Linked DNA regions of Oryctolagus cuniculus. The protein of the gene in region 1 interacts with the protein of each later gene in a biochemical or structural test. Links are inferred from orthologs where the notes say so. Each region holds a gene or a part of one and is shown on either strand. Other genes may lie near its edges.

Region 1 (11,802 bases):
ACTAACTTACCGGGAGATAATTGGCAATAACTTTCCAGTCATCTGTTCCATTCTGTTCCACCAGCTTCTTTAGTTTTTCATCCTAAGACATTTAAAGGTAATCCTAGGATATCAATCATTTACTGTATAACTCTGTTCAACTTACAGTAAACAAAGGAACCGATCCAATAGTGCACGCCAGGAAAAAAAAAAAACTCTCTCGACTGTGTCCAAATACAGCAGATAAAAATGTAATAGAGTGACTGAGAGCACTGATTTATTTAGAATCAGACCAAGTTTGCATCTCAACTCAGGTGCTGATTAGTTGTCTGAGCTTGGGTTGGTCGTTGTACCTTTCTGCAATGTGGTATTGTCATCTGTAAAATGGGAATGCTGATATCAAGAGGGAATTACATGACATAATTACTGAAAATAGCATGATGCCGACACATATTGAGTGTTTGATATATATATATATATATATATATATATATATAGGCTCAACCTCTTTCAAATAACAAAATGGAAGCTCCCTTTTCTTAGTTAAACCTGAAGGCACATTCAATGTATGAAAATATTTCAGTTTTGTGTCAAATGAGACCCAACATATGAGAACACAGAAGACGCTAACACGTGTGGGCAATTGGTTCAGCTCACAGACTGTTGGCAGTGCTACCAGCTCACACGTGTCTAAGTGTCTTCCTTCTAAAGTTTCTGCAAAGATAACATTCACACGCAACGGAAGCCTCGGGACAACACAGACGCAGGAATTAGGAAACCAGGATTAACAGCAGAACTTCTAGATCTCTAGGGACCATCCAAGTGCACATGGCGAGGTGAAATGTGCAGTTCCTGTAAGACTCCCAGGGAACCCTGACTCGTGTCAGGAGGGGCTCTGGTTTCAATGAAGTACAGTGCAATGGATCTGAAGAAGAGTTAATACCATTTATTCTAACAAGAAATCCTCTAAAATTAGTTGCAAATTCACTGACAGCATTAAAGAAGAAGAAACCCCTCCTCAAGCATTACTAATTGGGATCAGATCGAAAGATGAAGCTTTTGGTGAGCTTGTTGCGAAAGAAGAGTGGGAAGCAAATACATGTGCATTCATTACTGGACGCTCTGTGAAATACATGAAGGATATTAAATGAGCATATTATACCGAGACGATTTTTCAATGTTTCGTTTTCTTCGTTTGTTTGCTGAGTTTTGGGAAATAACAATTCATTCAGGGAACATGTATTGGCATTCTACTTTGTGTCAAGCCATTGTGAACATAAAGAGGAAGAGACACTTAGCGCTGCCCTCAAGAGCCTTGCAGTCTCCTAAGAGAGGCAGATGGGTCACAGCAACAGTAAGGCAGACAGGGAGCCAACAGCATGGGACCGCAGGCTGAGACATCTGAGGAAGCCACGGCTGGCTTCACGGAAGAGGCCCTGCGTTCATGGGTCCCGAAGAAGCAGTAAGACCTGGAGGGGCTAAAGGTTGAGACATTGGCAGGTGGACAGAAGCGCAGAGGAAGCAGAAAGTGGCAAGAAGAGGACATTCAAAGAACTAGAAAGAGCTTGGGAATGGACGTGTGGCAGAGTGGTGAGGGCTGCCTGCTGCACGGGCCGGCTGGGACAGGATCTCAGAGAGCTTGCTAAGGAGTTTGGACACCTGTGACTTGGCTGAAATCTTGTGTTTCCTAAATGACACACGCTGCGTCCGCCTCATGTTCTGATAAAGTGATTCGTTACCTCTTCCCTGGTCCACCTAGTTTTCCCCAAGTGACGCTTTCCGGATTTGGGAAGCAGCCCGTCATAGTCGTGGTCACACATCTCAATATCGTCGTCATCCTCGTCGCTACTGTAAATGCTGCGGAAATAAGAAGGGGGCAGACGAGGGCTGAAACCAGAGGGTTTGAACTACTGGATTTCAAAATGTGCACAACGGCTCCTCAGTCATCTTTCCAATGGTTATGGAGATGAAACTCTGAAAACTCGCACCACAAGACTGCATTCTGCAATCTGTTGCTCTGGTATTGGAAACTGGCTCTGCTGTTGTTGGTATCCACAGATACGGTGAAGGATCTGGCACTTGCCTATTCCTCTGCATGTTTCAACCTGCTGTTACTGCTAGACCAGCGACAAGTGACACATCTGGCCACCTTCCAACCAATGAAGGCTTCCGTTTAAATCTTAATGTTCAGGGCAAGAAAAGGAACAAGAGCCCATGTCCTTTCTATAGCACACACTCGAAATCTCAGGCATATGTCACATCATTTAAACGGTATTTCTCAAACACAATAAACAACTCAATTAGGTTACTCCAACAGGGCTGGCATTCTACTAAACAAACAAAAAAAAGTTTTGAGAAGTAATATATCCACTAACATAATTACAGTCATTTCTTAAAGATGAGAAGATTAGGAGAATCTAAGAGAAAAGGGATTTTAATCCCAAGGAAGGGTAGACCGACCGACAAGGGAGTGAACGGTAAATGACATCAATATCCAATTCTTAAAGCTCTGGGCCAGGCTGACCCAGGCTCTGGTCTTGTTTACAATACCCCATCTCCAGAGTAACTAAGTGAATGATGAAGTCATCTGATAGTCTGAATCTCACACCTGTGCTTTTTTCTGTCTCTGATGGAACGGTGTTTGAAATATCTTACAATGTGCCTTACCCAAAACTAAGGGATTCACGCAGAAGAAGTCGATGAGTTTAAAAAGAACCCATTACCATTTTCAAAAGAGCTTTTCCTTTACCTAGTTGACTAAAATCAAGACTTTTGATGACTTTTGAAGCAACCCTACACTCAATGTTTATTAATCGTATACTAACTAGATGGGAGTAACTTGATGGTTTAGCTTTAGCTATAATTTTTCTAATAAAACTTAGGATAGGAAAAATTATACTAATCTTAGAAAATTTATCATTGTAATATTGAGAAATCCACTGAAATGGGACCAATAAAAACGATGATCTAAAGTAACATCATAATGTGGTTTATTATTTTTTAGAAGGAGGTTTATATTTGTTTCAGGTTTTATCTTCCCAAACTACTCATGAGTGCATACTGCCAATGTCCCACAGGTCAAGCAAAAATACTCACCCAAAACCCTGGCTTAGGGGTTCAAATAGTTTCTAACTAGAATTTAGGACAACATCAGGTGGCTCAGGTTGCACTGTGAAACAAATTTAAGTACTTAGTACTTAAATTAGTACTTAGTCAAATTTAAGTACCAAAAAACTAAACCAGCCAAGCAACAAACACATCGTATACTGAACTATATTTATAATCTGAAATAATTTCTTTTATATAGGGGTGATCTTTTGAAAGAAGAGCCTACTGCGGTTTCGCACGTTGAACACGAGGTACTGAACAACTTCTGACCAATAATAATTACACGTTTTTCTTTCATGTAAACACAGTGACCCCTCCCCCAATTGCGATAAGCTGGGAGCTTTAAGTCAGTTTTGAAAGGTCCCTAGCAACTCCGTTTTATGCACCCCCAAATGCAGTAGCTATCCCCTTGTCAAATACCAGGAACACCAGGAGAACCACAGCAATCTGTAAGTGGAGCCAGAGATTCAAGCCAAAGTCACTTTTTAGGTTTGGCTGGATCTGAAAATCCTATTTGCAGAACTGAGCTCAGCGACCCGGGCACAAGCAACACCTGCGGCCGCCCACAGGGGGCAGCCAAGGACAGGTGAGGGCAAACAGCCTTGGGCCAGGACCCGGTTCCGGAGGCCGGCCGGCGCTAGCTCTGCCTCCACCTTGCAGCGTGGCTTGGACAAATCACTTCCTCTCTCTCGGGGCCTGTGTTCCTCGCCTGTGCACAAGGGCTTGGATCCTATTTCTAAGGTACTTTCCAGCGCTCAGAAATGATGCTTCCACGTCTTCCGGGACTCTTGCAGACCGCGCACCGAGGCAGAGATGTGCAAACCCGAGGTCGCGCGGAGGTCGTGGGCTGTGACTTCGGCGGGGCCTGAGGGGGCCCCGAGGGCAGCAGGGAGAGTCCGGGCTGCCCAGGCCGTCGTCGGCTCGGGGGTCCCGCATCAGCCGGCTGGGCGCGGACGCTCCCGCCTTGGAGCTCTCTCTGCAGGCGACTTCCTAGCTCGCAGGGTTCTCTGTCGCCTCGGTAGCATGATTAATTTCTCCTCAGGGCCTGAAATAACTTTTCCTTTATCTGCACTGGCGAGGTCTCGGAGCCAACAGTCAGAGGACGTTCAAAGGCTTACAGGAGGCTCCGTGCACCCGACTCCCCCCACCTGCTAGACCCGGTGTGGTTACCGGAGTACAACTATGAATACTGCGTTCTGTCAAGGAAACAAACCGTGCAAAGAAACGAAAAAGAAAAGAGGTGTCGGGGGGTGGCTGGGAAGAGGGAGGGTACGGGAGGAAGTGCCTTGTGGCCGCCACTGTGATTCTAGAATAGGGGCTAAGACTCATTTCGCTGACCTGGTTAATAATCCCGGCCGAGTCGACGCTCGCCATGCAAGAAACGGCTCCGAGCCCGCAGCCGGGTTTCTCTTCCCCCTGAGGCAGGTTCAAGGTTCCCGCCCCTCCCGGCCGCCTCCCCTCCGGGCTACCTGGGAGCGGCCGGGAACCTGCGCGGCCCCGCCCCGCGGGGGGCAGCAGGGACCTCGGGGCGCGGAGCCTCGGCCGCGCCTCCTCCAGGCTCCCCTGCCCGGCGCCCGGCGCCCTCCTCCTCCTAATGCCCGTTCTGCTCTCGGAAAGCAGGTGGCCCGAGGTGCTCTCCGGCTAAGTCCCAAAGGCGAAAGGTGAAACCCAGTCCCCCGAGGTCCTCTTCAGCCCATCCCCCACCCCGAGTCGCCCATTTCGCCCCCGGGCGCCCGGCAGCGCCCGGGCGCTGCTCCCCGCCAGCGTGGCCCGGGCGCTCCTGCAGGGCCCACGCCCACGCTCTCTGCAACTTCCCAGCGCCGCGCGAGCAGCCAAAAGCAGTAAGAGACAGCAAAGCAGAGCACCCAAGGAAGAGCGGGTGGGTCTTGCCTTGCCTCCCCGGACTTCTGTCCAGCGCCAGGGGCCGTCGGGCCGCAGCGCCTCGGCACAGGCGACCTCAGGCGCCGGCCGCCGAGCGACGGCGTCCACGTGTGCGCGCCGCGCTGGGACCCGTGGCCCCCGGGAAGCGCCGGCGGGGAACGCGTCGGTTGCGCGGCAGCGGCCATGGGTGCTGTCGGTCTCGTGGCGACCACGACGGCCCCGGCTTAAGCCCCGGCAGCGGTGGCTCACAGGGAGCCCCGGCGTGTCCAGCCCGGGGAGGTGCCGCGGCCGGTGGCAGCTGAGGCCAGCAAATGACAGTTCGGACGAATATGTCCCTCCTCGGCCAAAGCGCCCTGGGCTTTCGCCTGCCCAGCGCGGGGGACATGTGCGGAGCGGGCGCGTGGGTGCACTGGCAGAGTTTGCAACAGAAATAAACGCTTCCCTAGGAATAACGCCTCGAGCCTTCCAACCTGTGCTTCAACAGTTTGCAAGCGAGGAGCCCCCCGTGCTAGCCTGAAATCTTCCTTCCAGCCGCTCGTCAGCTGACACTCGCCCCGGCCTCCATAAAGAATGAATGAAATTGAAATAAACTACCTGCAGCTATAAACGATCCAGCATTTCCCGTGTCTGCCATATGTTCTGCGCTTCCAAGCCCCAAACGCATCTCCATGCATCCAGCAATTAGGCTGCGCCCCCTCGCCGGCACCCGCTGGGCTCCCCGGGGCCGGGGGGCACCGCTCTGCACCCGGCTGGAACCTGCTCCTTTACCACCCTGCTTCCCCCCGAAAGAGAAACGTATCCCCGTGCAGCGTGCACACGGAGCCGCTGGGCGTGCTTCCTTCCCGAAGTCCCAGTACAGTTCCCGCAGAGACTCTGCATTCGTCAGTCTGTCCAGGGGCTCCCGCGGCCGAGCCAGGCGCTCCAGGTCTGCCCGGGATCTGACAGCCCCGCACAGGATCCCAGAACCCATTCCCACCTGCTCTGGGGCGCCGGGCGCCCCGCGGGTCCCCGCCCTCCGTCGCCCGCCGAGGCTCCCCGTTACCTGTGCCGGGGTCTCCGGGCCATGGCGCGGCGGGAGCGGGGCTCCGCCGAGAGCAGCGGGGACCGCACGGGGCTGTCGCCTCCCGCTGCCCGCCGCCTGCCTGCGTCCCTCCCCGGCTGCGCAGCGACGCTGGGCACCGCCGGGGCGAAGTTTCTTAGGAGAAAGAGGAGGAGGAGGAGGAGGAGGTGGAGGCGGCGGAGGAGGAGAAGGAGGAGGAGGAAACAGGTTGATATTAAAGTGTAAACTCTGTAAACAGAGATGCCATCAAACAAAGAGCTTTGGACACTCCCCCTCCCGCCAAATCTGGCGCCCCTGCAGTGCGCACGCGCCCTGCCCGCCGCCTCCGCGGTCGCCCTGGCTGCAGCCCGCGGGGCCGAGGGGCCCGCCGGGCCGCCGCTCCCATTCGCCGCTCGCGCCGCCGCGCTGTGCCTGGCGCGCGGTGAGGCCCGGGCGGCGCGCGGGCGGAGAGCCCGGGGCCGGGGAGGGGCGCCCGGGGCCGCGGCCGAGGCGCCTTTTCCTGCGCAAACCCCGCTCCCGGGCCGTGGCGGCGCTGGCCCGCGCCAAGTCCCGCGGAAGCCGCCTCCTTTCCTCCTCGGTAGCCGCACCGCGGTCGCCCCCCGGGCGTGCTCCCGGGCACCTGAAGCCTGGGTGGCAAGGGGTCGCGGGTGGGGGCAACTCCCGCATTTGATTGGGATTGGCTTTCAGGTAGGGTTTACAACTCGGTTCTCTAGAGGGGGAAGACTTGGAGGCAAGGCAACCTGTGTTTACTTGAGGGAGTTTGGCCAGGTCCCTTTTAATACAGAACACATCTCATTAAACTTGTGACAGGGAACACTTAGCGGGGTTATCACCGTGCACCCATGGAGCATCCCCCCAGCCGAGCTCTCCCTCCGCTCCAGCATCCCGCAGCCCAAACGCTACCGTCCCTGGTCAGGAGCCCCCAGCTCCCAAGCCCCGGCTCGTGCCAGGCCCCACCCACCCGGGCGCCCACCGCACACCTGCGCCCCAGCGCCGTACGCGCCCTGGGGTACGCACCTGCGAAGGAATGCACGGGGTCCCCAACAGCCCGCCCGCGGCAGCGCTCTGGAAACCCCGCGTTTGCATGCGTGGCTTTAAAAGCACACGGTTTGTGAGTACAGAGGTCGGGGTCCGTGCTAGGGGTGGTGGGAGAACTCTGTTTTATCAGCTGCAAGTCAGCAGAGACTTTGGTGTTCGGTTAGCTGGGGGATTGCTGGAGAAGTCGAAGGAGCAGAGAAGTGCCGAATTTATAAGGATTGGTGATTGGGGGATTTTAGGGGAGTTTTAGTTTTACTTCCGCTTATAGATTAGTACCATTGGGGTTTTTTTTTTTTTTTCATTCTCTGTACACACTAATTTATTTTTCCTTTAATCTTTCAGGAGTTTGAGACTTCTGCTGACGGGGTTTGTGGGTGTCCCATGTGCCCCACCGTTCAAACTTAGCTCAGAAAGCAGGTTTCTTACCAAAAAAAAAAAAAAAAGCATGTTCTTACTAAAATGAGTCATAATTTTATTAAATGGTGAAGCATGCTAGGTTTCAAGACTTTATCTAGTGTTTTAAACTTTGTTTCTTAAAAATTGTTATGTAGTTGAAATCCTTATCAAACATAGGCTAGTTTCTAGTAAGGTTTTAACATTCCTTTCTTCGTGAGAAAAAAAAAAAAAAAACAAACAACCCAAAACACTGAGACCAGTGCTGAGAGATAGTTCAGGTCACAACTCCCAAAGACATGTCACTTTCAAGTTAATGTATTTTTAAAGCCAATATTTATTTCTAGATCCTATAATAAAGTTTCCTTCTCCACATAAAAAATAAACAACATTTAAAAAAATATCTAGAACAAACATCTAGAAACTACCCCTGGAGGAACTGTATTCTGGCTTTGGGATGTCTTCTTGATTCTATCTGGCAAGAGCCCCAGTTGCTGGGCGTCCTGTACACAGTGCGACTATCCAAACCCTTTCTGTTGAGAGTTCACAGCCTCTTTCCCAAGATTCTCTGGCAGGGGACCTGCTCTAAGATGCTGAAACTCTTGTTATGTAGAAAGACACTGAATTCCATTTTCCTTCATTCCTCTTGAGCATTGTTCTTCTATGCCTTGTTTTGAGAGTTTCTAATGGTTGCATTTTCATTCCCCAGATAGTAAGGGAGCATAGCTTTACGTTTTTCCCTTGGTTGTGTGGCGATCATGTGCTTGGAACATGCGTACTCCAATAAAGAATATATATGCAGACATTTAATTATGCTACTTTGTGACATACTGCCATCTGTTAAGTTTATGGAAGTTATGAGAATTCACCTCTGCCTCCACTTCATTTACAGTTTAGATGCCAATTTTGCATATTTTATCATTTTATTTTTTAAAAGATCTGCTGCATCAGTTACCTAAACTGGGGCAGGGCTGGGATGGAGCTAAATTCCAATAAAGGTTTGTGTTTGTGATGCACTGGACAACAGTCAGCGAGCTGCTCTGTGCAGGGCTGGGTAGTAAATGTTTCGGGCTTTGTGGGTTGTTCCATATCTCTCTTTCTCCCTCTCATTCTTTCTTTTCCTTTCTTCCAATAACCTTTTAAAAATGTAAACACTATTTTTAAGTTGATAGCTGTATAGAACTTGCAAGCTTTAGCTGGCCAACACTAGAACAGTAATCCTTGATCTTCATTGTATATCAGAATCCCTGGGTGTAGCCATGAAAAAGCGTAGACCCAGGCTGTCCCCATAGACTAATTCAGTAGGTGGGGCCCAAAAATCTTTTTCAAATTTTCAAATTTCTCTCTCTCTCTCTCCCTCTCTCTCTTTCCCTCTCTCTTTGAAAGAGAATCACAGAGAAAGGTCTTCCACTTGCTGACTCATTCTCCACATGCCGACAACAGCCAGGGCTGGGCCAGGCCAAAGCCAGGAGCCTGGAACTGAATCTGAGCCTCCCAAGTGGGTGGTAGGAACCCAAGCATTTGAGCCATTACTTGCAGGTACCCGGGCTGTGCATTAGCGAGAGGTGGCCTGGAAATGGAGAAGCTGGAGCCAGGCATTCCTGTTAGGGATGAGGGCATCCCAAGTGCCATGTTAACCACCGTGCCAAATGCTTGCTCCAAATCTGAATTCTAAACAAGTACCCATATGGTTTTCATGGAAGAGATCCCTAGACCACTTGTTAATAACCCCAGTGTTAGGGTTGGTAGCTGAGTGCTGGGTGCCTTCCATCACCTTCTCCTACCTCAATCTTTTTCACCTCTCCTGGGTGAAGGATTTGGGCTCTCCCTAACCCCAAATCCTTTTCCTCCATGAGGGAGATGCTGCCGGTGCCCAGAGGGCTGTGGTAACCTATTGTCTTTATTTTTTTCTGCAAAACATCAGCTTCATAACTGAAACTTGAAAGAAAAGGAATCACTTGGTGCTTTGTGAATCATCATTATGACTCTCCCCCTCCAGAAAACCAGCACTTGAAGCATTTTATGTGATTCTGAAGATTGTGGAAGGCTTAAGGGAGAAAGACATACAAAAGACACAAATTCAGCTTGTTTGTGACTGCAGTGAAATCTTGGGCCTGTGGAGGATCCTTAATATCTGTGATCCTCATCCTGAAAGTGAATGAGAATTATCAATGGTGACCACAGAGCAGGGGTCAAGGGCTCCATGTCTCTACCACCTGCCTTTCCCTCAGCCCTTCAACCCTGTTGGCTCAGGGCATTAAGAGGAAGGTAATTACAGCAAGCACCAAATGGTTAAAGGATCCATAATTCCTGATCATTTCAGTTCATGAAGAATGGCTGTAGCGTGTGTGGTTGAAAGCCGTAGGTTTGAGAGTAACCTCATGGTGACTTCTGGCAAAGCTCTTAGTTACAGCAATGGGGTGTTACTTTAATGGAATATGTTTCATAGAGCACCCAGAAGAGAGGGTGAGCAAATGCATTTTTAGCTTTAGATGTTTCAGTGATTTGGCACTTCCTGCTTGTTTTCACTCTGCAGATTCTCATCATGTATATATTCCCATGATAAGCAGGTGGAAGGACTCAAGTCCTTGAGCCTCACTTGCTGCCTCCCAGCATGTGCATTAGCAGGAAAGTGGATTGGAAGCGGAGGAGCTGGACCCAGGCACTCTGATCAGAGTTGAAGCTGGGATTATTTTCATTGTCATGTGAGTACAGGGGAGGCGTCCATGACAAGGGAAGGATATTTCGGAGGAAGGGGAAAGTGTGAGCAAAAGCACACAGTCAGGAACCGCAAGGTGTATTCCAAGCACAGGGAACACGGAGCTGTCCAGATGGCCTGGAGCAGAGAGCTGTGAAGGCCTGATGAATGTGTGTGTAGCATGGAAGGGCTATACTGGCAGAGGCGTGCTCCATAGATTGGAGTGAAAAGAGGCCGAAGGGGAGGGCCAGTTAGCTGGTCTAGACTATGGCAGCAACCCTAAGTGGAATGAAAAGGAGAGGGCTGCTCAGAGCAACTGATCGGATGGATATTGGAGGCACCATTAATAGAAATAGGGAAGTCAGGAGAGGAAGAGAAGTGTGCAGGAGCAGATTCAAAGAGGAAAGTGCATGTAGATTTCAGTGTGTTAGGCTTGTGGTTTCTTATGGAAGAGCTCTGGGTTGAGTTCTTCAGCAGATGGTAGACGGCGTTGAGAACAGAGCTTGCCCGGGAGGCTGATCCAGGACAGCATTGTGCATAGCAAATGCTTGTGAGCTGGTTGTTACATGTGGCCATTATTAAACACCAAGTGTATAACCATGCGGCTCAATAAGTTCTCTTAAAAAAGACATTCAAACCTCATCACTTCCTTTTATATATATATATATACATATATATTTTTTTCCTATTATCTGTGCACTTGAGGTTGTGTGTCTACTACATCTGTGTGGTGGAAGTGCCATATAGTATGAGCTATTGGGCCTTGCCTTCCAATTTCGCATCAGTCAAGCAGTGACAGTAGCTTGAAATTGCCTATTCTTGGAGCATTTACACCACAAAAGTGGCAAATGCTACAAACAGGGGTTGTTTCCCCATGGGAGACCTATTGTTAAACATTTAGCTGTAACACATTCAGTAAATACTGTATGGGTCTGGGCATTGTGGCACAATGGGTTAAACCACGCCTTGGGACACCCACATTCCATGGGTTTTGGTCTTGCCTCCACTTCTGACCCAGTTTCCTGCTAATGCACCTGAAAGGCAGCAGATGGTGGCCCAAGTGCACCCACCAGGGAGGTCAGTATGGAGCACCCGGCTCCTGACTTAGGCCTAGCACAGCCTCTGCATTTGGAGAGTGAATGAGCAATGGAAGATCTCTCTCTGTCTCTCCCTCTCCCTCTCACACACACTCTCTCTCCCTTTCTCTCTCTCTCTTCCTCCCTCCCTCTCTATTACTCTGCCTTTCAAACAAATAAATCAATTTTTTTTTTAAAAAATAAGTGCTATATATAGGTTTTATTTGTATAAAAGTGATAATTGTACTGTATCATAGAATTGCTAATATACTTTTTTTTTATTATTTATTTGACAGAGTTATAGGCAGTGAGAGAGAAAGGTCTTCTTTCACTCCCCAAATGGCTGCCTCGGCCGGCGCTGCGCCAATCCGAAGCCAGAAGCCAGGTGCTTCTCCTGGTCTCCCATGCGGGTGCAGGGGCCCAAACACTTGGACCATCCTCCACTGCCCTCATGGGCCTCAGCAGAGAGCTGGGCCAGAAGAAGAGCAACCGGGACTAGAACCCCGTGCCCATATGGGATGCCAGCGCCGCAGGCGGAGGATTAACCAAGTGAGCCACGGCGCCGGCCC
Region 2 (10,188 bases), on another chromosome or scaffold:
GAAAGCAGTGGAAGATGGCCCAAGGACCATCACCCATGCACCTGTGTGGGAAGACCCGGAAGAAGCTCCTGGCCTTGGATCGGCTCAGCTTTGCCTGTTGTGGCCATTTGGGGAATGAACTGGCAAATAGAAGACTTCTCTCTCTCTCTCTGCCTCTGCCTCTCTATAACTCTGGCTTTCAAGTAAATACATAAAAATCCTAAAAAAATCCTAAAAACAAAACAAAGCAGATGAAACTTAAAAAAAAAGTTTGTTAAATGAGTAAACTAAGACACACATTTGTATTTAACAGTCGAGTTTCCCAGATCAGGAAAAATAACATCTATTCATTTTGCTAAATTAAGAGAGGATGGGGGAGGCCGGCGCCGTGGCTCACTAGGCTAATCCTCTGCCTTGCGGCGCCGGCACACCGGGTTCTAGTCCCGGTCGGGGCACCGGATTCTGTCCCGGTTGCCCCTCTTCCAGGCCAGCTCTCTGCTGTGGCCCGGGAGGGCAGTGGAGGATGGCCCGAGTGCTTGGGCCCTGCACCCCATGGGAGACCAGGATAAGTACCTGGCTCCTGCCATCGGATCAGCGTGGTGCGCCGGCCGCAGCGCCGCAGCACGCCGGCTGTGGCGGCCATTGGAGGGTGAACCAACGGCAAAAGGAAGAAAGGAAGACCTTTCTCTCTGTCTCTCTCTCTCACTGTCCACTCTGCCTGTCAAAAAAAAAAAAAAAAAAAAAAAGAGAGGATGGGGGAGAAGTTCATGCCATTCCAGACTTAGTCACAGTGTTTCTGATATTGGTTAACTAAGTTTTCAACATGTTTTTGGCACTTCAGCTTCCAGGGAAATTTTAGAAAATTTCTAATTTCCTCAGAAACCCAAGTGGAAATATAAGTAGGAAATGTCTCAAGACTTAGCAAAGTACTTTACAGAAGCATAAACAAAGCAAAGAAACTGAAATAAAACAGAAGACACATTTTTTCAAATGTCACATTTAATGTTTTCACCACTGTACTTCAAATCTACATTGTACAAAGTGACCAGAAAGTGTGCCACGGGAACTGACCAACCTCTGAGATTGTACCTTTCACACCAGTGTCTTCTCGGGCTCTTTTGATACTAAACACGTTTCTCATTCAAGTGAATTGAAATGCTTCAGTTGGGTTGATTCTCAGGAGCCTCATAAAAAAAAACAAAGATATTGCACCATCTTTGTTTAGTAATTCAATGTTTGTTTCTTTCACAGCAAATAATTACTTCATTGAAGTTAAAACTTCCAAACATAACTTATTAATAGTCTTCAAATTCAGCTCAGATCACTCAAGATGAAAATACTCTGCTAAATACAGATAACTTACAATAACTTTAACAGTTAATTGTCCATAACACACACCAAGGTTTTTTCCTAGACCAATTTTAAGACGATCCATTAGTACTCCTTGTACAGGTGAAAAACGATCTTCAATTTTCTTGTCTTTTTATTTTTAATATAAAAGTTGGAAGGGACATTCAAGTTTCAAGTCTCCACATTGAACTTAAAAAAAAAAAATAGTCATCATCAGCATGTGGAGGTAAACAAGCCAAGTTGTATAGCTCCAGGAGGTAGAGGCCTTCGATTTGTATTCATATATACATATGCACACAAGAATTCAGTGTTCCAACAGGAAAAAGACTTTGTCAAAAAGTAATAAGTTATTTACTACTGTGACATTTCAAGACTCCCACAGCTTTGCTTAAGGACACAAACACATTTGACATAATCCCCTATGTGCCTTTTTTGTGGCTTTAAAATTTTTTAAAATTTGTTTTTGTCTTTTATTTATTATTTTTCACTGTCCAGTGCAGGAAAAGTCTCACAAAATTTCACAGACCTAAAATGTGCAAGCTAGTTCTCTCTCTATACAGCAATGTTGGGATTCTTTTGAAATTAGCCCAGAAATGAATTATTTACACACATGAAAGATGCATGCTTGGGGTTTTTTATGTAAGAAAGAGCAGAAAAACTTCTAATAAAAATAGATTAAATATATATATATATATTTATACTGGGTAAGGAAAACAAAAGTTTAGTCTCTCCTAGTCACAAACTCATTCTCTCTACCCACAACATTGGATTTTAGACAGCACACATCACCATCACGGCTCTAACGAGAAGCTAATCATAGGGCTTGATCATTCGGTGGCATGCCCCTCCTCCCAACCCTCCCCCCCAGGTGCAGCCACAATCAGCTCCTGTGGCTCCATGATTGGTCGCAGGCAAGGTTTCTAGATTCTTTAGTTTTAGAAAACCCCAAATCTTTAGGAATGGCTCAAATATCAAAAAGTATGACTGTCCTTTGTGTGTTTGTGTGTGTGTGTGTGTGTTTGTGTGTGTGAACAATCTCACTTCATTTTAAAAAGAGAAAAACAAAACAAAACAAAACAAAAACACAAAACCCCAAACTCCCAAATTTGGTTCATTCTCTTTTGTTCTGAGGTGAGCCATAACAGCTGCACTAAATTCATAAAACATGTGCAACTCTGGGTAAAATATTTCTCTTCTAAAAGCACAACCACTTTACAAGATTAAAAGTCTAGTAACATTTCTAAATATTATTCATATCATACAAGTAGTGGTTGTTAATTTAAAACTTCATTAGTAAAATTACAGTACAAGCATGATTAACCTCCAGAATTGCAAATCCCAGACTCCAGTGGAAAGCTACATCACATCTTCAGTAGTACACTATCGTCCACGGTCACTCCCACACCAGAGGAGATGGGGGCATCTCAGACGGCTGAGCAACAGTGGAACTGGAAAAAAGGGACAGATGGTGAAATCAGCTGTAACACTCCAGCAGGCAACAGGGCAACCCCATGCTGCCTGTCTTTTCCTCTCTTCCTTTAAAAAACTTTAAGCCCATTCCTGGATTTTTATTTTTGTCTCTTTAACTTCTTTAATGTTAAATTTGCTGCAAATTGTCCATTTGAGTCCATTACCTATAGTGAGGTGATATGGCACGGTGGCTAAGACGTGGGCCTGAAGACAACATATAATTTAAAGTTGAGCACTGAGCAAGTTCCTTGATCTTTTTATGTTTGGAAAAGGATAATGCTATCTGCCTCACAGGATATTGTGATGAATAGCTGTGATAATATATGTAAAGCATTTTTCCATGGTGCCTATTGCATAATGTTAGTAGTAGCTATTCTAAATAATATCTATTATAAATCAGGAAAATAACCTTAAAGGATGCAAAAATTATCCACTTAAAAGTGGCCTCTCAAAATATGGTGACTTTCAGGGGAGTCCTATTTTGTAGGTGTGTCATAAACAATCTTTTACCAAACAGTAATGGACTAGGAGGTATAATCCTTTAACATTTGTTATCCATAGATCTGTTTTAGTTACTTTATATGATTCTCTCAGGTTGCTAATTAGATTATAAACCTGAGAAGGGGTGGTAGGGGTGGTGGTAACCACTTGAGTTCCCCAGAGCCAAGGATAACAAATGATTTGTACTTGGCTGACTGGGTCTCTGGTTTTAGAGTAAAATAGTAAAACAAAGTAATTTAAAATCACAGAGAAGTTAAAAATAGAAGTTAATTCCTTGCTTCTACAGAAAAAAATACATGGAGGAAATGAAAGTCACTTCATTTCACAATTTTTAAACAAAAATTCTTTACTTTGGTTCAACAAATTCAGACCACTTCAATATCATGTATGAAAAGGAAAGAGAAGACAGGGAGAGGGAGAAAGGCAGGTGGGGAAAAAAGGAGACTATGTGGCTTCTCAGATCCAAATCCACCCTTTGTCCTGTTTGTGACACTGGAGCCAGAAACTGTTCTCGGCTCCCTCTTACCACGGGGCTTAATGTTAGCCTTTGGCAACAGATGGCGCTGGAAGGGCACTGCAAGGCTGAACACACAGCAGGAGGCAGCTTCCCTCTGATTCTGGCGTTCTCTTTTTGTCTTGATGTGCAAGGCCAGGTTTGGTCTACCAAACTGTCTGGCAACTTTCTTTGCGACCTAGCAGGCCTCTGCCCACACCTTCTGGGACATTCCTTCCTTGCCCTCCTGCTGTGCATTCCTGTAGCAGACAGACTCCCTCCAAAGAACTCCCTGGTGGAGGGCATCTTCTTTCCTCCTCATTCACTTGCCCTCAGTCTACAGAAGTAGCTCCTTTCTGCATCTGCTACTTCAGAATCCTCTTTTTATGCCTTTCAGTAGCTAGCCATCTTGTTAATGATTCTTGTAACTTAATTTTCCCCATTCATATTACTGGAGCAGTTTCTGTCTTGACTGCACCCTGATTAATATAGAGACCAAGGGAAGGCAGGACAAAGGGACAAACAGAAGGAAGCTTGCTAGGATGCAAACAGGTTCATAGCTCTGCTATAAGCCTGTTGGCTTCTCCTCTAAATAAGCCAGGTGAGGAGCTCACCTTTAAAAAAGGCATTTTCTTGCTTGCAGTTATTATTACTAGGGTGGGAACAGCAGTGGGAACCAAGATGACCATGTTAATCCCCAGGCAGGTGGTGGCCACACTGTGGCTGCAGCAAGACCCCATGCACATGCTCATCATCAGGCAGCACAATGCGCACCTGGGGAAAAACTGCCACAGCAACCACCGTGGACTGGCATCAACGTGCAAACTGACGCTTCTATTTTAAATATACCTTTGACTATAGCCAAAGCTCATAATGGCTTCTGTCAGAGCTTTTATCTATGTTATCCAATCTACATAAAAACGGGAATATGCTGAGTAACAAAATCACAACATCTTTTAACTTCTAATAAGAATGTCAGAAATACATACATATAGTTACCTAATAAAGCTCTTAAAAGCAGCAGACTGAGGGTTGATGCAGAGAGGCACTCTGTTTCCTTTCTGCTGTTCCAAAATAAACTGGTGGATAATTTCTGTGGAGAAAACAAACATCATTTAATCCATGCTAATTTGCAGGCCTGGGAGCAGTGGATTCTCAGCTAACTTTAGCATCTGAATGGCATTTCCTATTGGTTTAGTTACATCAAAGACACAGGTCAGCTATCAAGCAGAGCACAACTGAACTTTTCTGAAACAAAAATGACAGCTGTTGCTAAATACAGACAAAACCCTAAAGGGTGGCATTACACAGACTGGAACCCCATCAATGTAAAGAGTAAAATAGTCTAGAAATTTCAGACTCCATAGGATTGGTGTAATGGGTGAACTCTTCTAAACTGCTGGTAATTATCACCTTTTTCAAGATCACTTAAAAATTTCAGTTGGTATTTAGGTATATAGTTTTGGGTTGTTTACTTTGGGAGCTACCCTCTCTTCTAAATGCCCTGGAAGAGACACATTTTAAACATTCAGAATTTTGGATGTCATTATACCTACTCCATCCATCTCAACAGATTATCTATCATGCCATGAAATTTTATGAATAAACTATCAGAATTTCCTTTCTCTAGGCATCATTCAAAGAATAATTCCCTCAGTGGGTTTTAATCCTTTTAAAAAAGAAGGCAAGTATTTCAGTTAATGAAATGACAGAATGAATACATATTAAATATATTTTGAGTTACACTCACTACCACTTTGAAAATAAGAACAAAACAGTCATTCTTCTGCCTGACCCTCTCCTCCATGCAACATTAAATCAACATTTGCACAACACACATAGCTTTCCTGACAGATCTGCCTGGACACACAGTTGTTAGTAAGGTAATAAAATAAACATACAGAGGAACTCTGGTCAGCATCCAGCTCTCAGCTCTTCACAGGCACATAACAGAAAATGTTACCAGTCATCTTGCTTGGCCAAAGGCCAAAAAAGACACTCACCTTTAACCTGTCTGACAGAACTGAGGTTCTTCTCAAAAGTGTCATCAAATTTGGGATTGGTGATGGGCTCAAAGTCACTGGTATAAACTCTTCCAGTGGAGGTGGAAAAGCAACATTTACACATACACGTGTGGTATCGTAGTCGCCCTTCATCTAAGTAGGGGTGGGCTAAGGCATCCTTAGCGGATATTCTTTTAGACTGAAATCAAATTTAGAGACCAGCACATCAACACTACAGATAAATATGACTGTCCACACAAGATATTTCACAAGACACAGAAATTGCTTTACATAGTTTACACTTAATTTATAGTATATCATAGGCAAAGAAGGATAACTGAATTTAAAAGTGAACATAGAAATAGAGGGGGCATGTAGCTTAGGATGACAAACTACTGTTAGCATATACCACCATAAAGCACTTACATGTGTATTTCTACTAAAATTGAGTTCCTACCATGCTTATATCATGACCTTTCAGGATAAGATAAAACAAAGCTGTTGGTTATCCACCATGAACCTACAAGGGTAAGCTTGGTGACCTTGTTTTTTTTCCTTTACTGCCATTACCTATTTGTTAGGTTGTGGGTAATATGTTTGGTGACCCAGCCCTTCTAAGCCTGACTCCCTTGCACTAACAGCAAGCAAAGTTTTTTTCCTTTAAAAAGTCCAAGTCTTCCTGGAGAGATAGGAAATCACTGGGATAAAGTTCCCCCATTTAAACCCAAAGAAACAAGTATACTAACAGAGCAGCAGACCTGGTCCTGAACCCCTCTGGTGGTCAGCTCCCCTTTCCTTGGCTTCTTTGGTCACACCTGTGGGACTCAGTTCTCTAGCTTTTCTGTACATTAAATTTGGTCCTTGGCCAAATCTGTGACTGAACATGCTGCCAGCTGCTCACACTATTGGCAATGGTGATTAAATCTGCGCTTTATCATCTGACCATTAAGTCATTTCTATCAGGTGGCAGATGTCAGACACTGGGTCCCAGTCAGCTGGCACCAGCAGCTGGAGTCTGCTTCCTGTGTTAGCTTCTTTTGTCTGCAGATTGGTATTTCCTGAAATTTGAGAATGTAGGGTTGAAAAGATTTTAGTGTTTTCCCTGACTATGGATATTATGCTCTATGTGTTCTATGTGTACCAAAGTGTTTTACCAAAGAGAAACCTTTGAACAAAAAGTAAACCAGATTCCTGGCAGGCAATGATCAACCTCCATGTCTCTAAACAAATTAACACCTCTTTAGGACCTCACAAGGCCAAAGAAAGGAGGCTGTTATTTTACAAAATGTGATATCACTGACAGGAAGGACTCTCTTGCTAAATTGAGAAAGAAATCACAAAATTACTCAGATGGTTAATAATGGTGTTCTAAAAGACCTAATGGCACTTAATTGCATATTATATATCTTAATTACACATTGTGAATATCTTGTTTCTTTAACTGTTCAACATTTGTAATAGATACGGACACCTTTTTCTATCCTGTGCTCTGTTGCTTTATCAGAATTGGCTCCCTTAGTCTTGAATAAAAGTTGATAAAACTTTCCATTTTACAAATATGAAATATTTCTAGGTAAACAAACTGATGTACTTTGTATACTTCTGTAGGGAGTCAATATACCATATTATGAGATTTCTTAACATCAAATCTGTTCCAATTTGCTTTCAGTATATTGAAGACAAAAAATTTCAAAGACTTGAAAATAATACTCTTTGTCAAGGATTAAATATATTGGCATTTTAGAAATTTTTTCTTGCTGAAGTGGTAAACCCAAAGATTTCAAAAAACTTTGACTGTGAGTTAAGACAATAATCTTGGGGACTGGCACTGTGGCGTAGAGAGTAAGGCTGCTGCCTGCAGTGCTGACATCCCAAAAGGGTGCTGGTTCGAGTCCTGGCTGCTCCACTTCTGATACAGCTCTCTACTATGGCCTGGGAAAGTAGTGGAGGATGGCCCAAGTACTTGGTCCCCTGCACCCACCTGGGAGACATGGAAGAAGCTCCTGGCTCTTGGCCTGGGACTGGCTCAGCTCTGGTTGTTGCAGCCATTTGGGGAGTGAACCAGCTGATGGTAGACCTTTCTGTCTCTCCCTCTCTCTCTCTGTGGCTCTGCCTCTCAAATAAATACATTAACTTTTTTTTTTAAAAGATCTATTTATTTATTTGAAAAGCAGATTTAAGGGGCCCGTGCTATGCAGCAGCGGGTTAACGCCCTGGCCTGAAGTGGCAGAATCCCAAGTGGGCGCTGGTTCTAGTCCCAGCTGCTCCATTTCTGATCCAGCTCTCTGCTAGGGCCTGGGAAGGCAGTAGAAGATGGCCCTAGTCCTTGGGACCCTGCCTTCACATGGGAGACCCGGAAGAAATTCCTGGCTCCTGGCTTCGGATTGGCAAAGTTCCGACCATTGCGGCCAATTGGGGAGTGAACCATCAAGATGGAATATCTCTCTCCCTACCTCTCCTCTCTCTGTGTAACTCTGACTTTCAAATAAATTAATAAATCTTAAAAAAAAAAAAAAAAAAGAAAGGCAGATTTACAGAGAGGCAGAGGCAGAGAGAGAAAGGTCTTCCATCTGCTGGTTCACTCCCTAAATTGCTGGAATGGCCAGAGCTGTGCTCATCAGAAGCCAGGAGCTTCTTGAGGGTCTTCCACGTGGGTGCACTAGCCCAAGGACTTGGGCCATCTTCCACTGCTTTCCTAGGCCATAGCAGAGGGCTGGGTTGGAAGTGGAGCAGCCAGGACTCAAACAGGTGCCCATATGAGATGCTGGCACTGTAGGTGGCGGCTTCATCTGCTACGCCACAGCGCAGGGCCAAATACATAAACTTTAAAAAAGAAAAAATTTTCCCTGAGGGGCTGGCATTCTGCCATTGCAAATAAAGCTGCCACCTGTGACATCCCATATGGGCAGTGGTTCATGTCTGGCTACTCCACTTCTGATCCAATGTACTGCTGATGGCCTGGGAAAAGCAGTGGTAGATGACTGATGACTCAAATGCTTGGGCCCCTGCCACCCACTTGGAGTTCCAGTCTCTCCTGGCAGATGCGGCTACTTGGGGAATAAACCAGTAGATAGAGGGCCTCTCATTCTCTCTCTGTCTCTCCCTCTCTCTTGTAACTCCTTTTTCCTGATATGGGATCTCAAACAGCAGCTTAACCTGTGCTACGCAGCCTGCACCTATTTAGCCTTGCTATTTTTTCAAAGATTTATTTACTTACTTGAAAGGCAGAGTTACAGAGAGAAGAGGGAGAGACAGAGAGACAGAAAGACATCTTCCATCCTTTGGTACACTCCCCAGATGGGAACAATGGCTGGGGTTAGGCCACAGGGTGGGTTCGGGGGCCCAAGTACCTGAGCCATCTTCCACTGCTTTGTCAGGCCATTAGCAGGGATCTGCATCAGAAGTGGAGTAGTTGGGACATGAGCCTGCACCCATATGGGATGCCAGCATCACAGGCAGTAGATTTACTCGCTACACCACAACACCAACCCCAATAAATTAATCTTTAAAAAAAAAAAAAAAAGTAAATGTTAACCCTAGGACCTTTATAAAGTCCTCTAGAGGCAGAGAGAAATTACCTCTGAAGCTTAAGTTTCCTATGGCTCTAGTTTTGTTAACCATACAAAAGATGTTACATTTTTTTGTAAACATTTATTTATTTATTTAAAATCCAGAGTTACACAAAGAGAGAAGGAGAGGCAGAGAGAGAGAGAAGTCTTCCATCTGCTGGTTCACTCCCCAGTTGGCCACAATGGCCGAACTGGGCTGATCTAAAGCCAGGAGCCAGTAGATTATTCTGGGTCTTCCACTCGGGTGCAGGGGCCCAAGGACTTGGGCCATCTTCTAGTGCTTTCCCAGGCCATAGTGGAGCAGCTGGGACTGAAACCAGTGCTCATATGGGATGCTGCCACTACAGGTGGTGACTTTACCTGCTATGCCACAGTGCCAGACCCAAGATGTTAGATATTAACATCTTCTATGAGCTATGTCCATAAACTTGCAAAAAAAATATCAAACCAATGATACGTAATCAGAAGTTATGTGACTTTATGTGACTACAGCTGTGCTCATTGGCAGGAACCTGATCACAAGGAGAGACTGTGAAAGCAAGAACTGCCACCATGTCTTGCTTCCAATGTTGCTTAACACTTCATATACCACAAGTAAAAACACAAAAATAAATGTCAAAGTTTTAAAAATCCAGTCTGCACAATGAGATGTCACAAAAATAACTTGGTAACCCTGACTGGTTCTGTGCACCCAAGTAATAAAACTTACTATTTCTTTTTTTTTTTTTTTTTTGATAGGCAGAGTGGACAGTGAGAGAGAGAGAGACAGAGAGAAAGGTCTTCCTTTTTGCCGTTGGTTCACCCTCCAATGGCCGCCGCGGCC

The links.
Region 2: of the proteins of MYB (region 1) and NLK, one has a biochemical effect on the other in vitro, tested with the Homo sapiens proteins (2 studies listed by BioGRID, with this or other methods). The link is inferred for Oryctolagus cuniculus from reciprocal best matches to the Homo sapiens genes MYB and NLK.

What each region holds. Positions count from the first base shown.
Region 1 is NC_091436.1:33,732,795-33,744,596, forward strand, and holds the start of MYB (transcriptional activator Myb), read right to left. Parts: upstream 6,170-11,802; 5' UTR 6,034-6,169; coding exon 6,011-6,033; intron 4,551-6,010; exon of another isoform or gene 4,426-4,550; intron 1,837-4,425; coding exon 1,719-1,836; intron 83-1,718; coding exon 11-82; intron 1-10. UniProt on the Homo sapiens protein: Transcriptional activator; DNA-binding protein that specifically recognize the sequence 5'-YAAC[GT]G-3'. Plays an important role in the control of proliferation and differentiation of hematopoietic progenitor cells.
Region 2 is NC_091448.1:43,848,478-43,858,665, reverse strand, and holds the end of NLK (serine/threonine-protein kinase NLK), read right to left. Parts: intron 5,996-10,188; coding exon 5,797-5,995; intron 4,887-5,796; coding exon 4,793-4,886; intron 2,778-4,792; coding exon 2,723-2,777; 3' UTR 1,786-2,722; downstream 1-1,785. UniProt on the Homo sapiens protein: Serine/threonine-protein kinase that regulates a number of transcription factors with key roles in cell fate determination. Positive effector of the non-canonical Wnt signaling pathway, acting downstream of WNT5A, MAP3K7/TAK1 and HIPK2.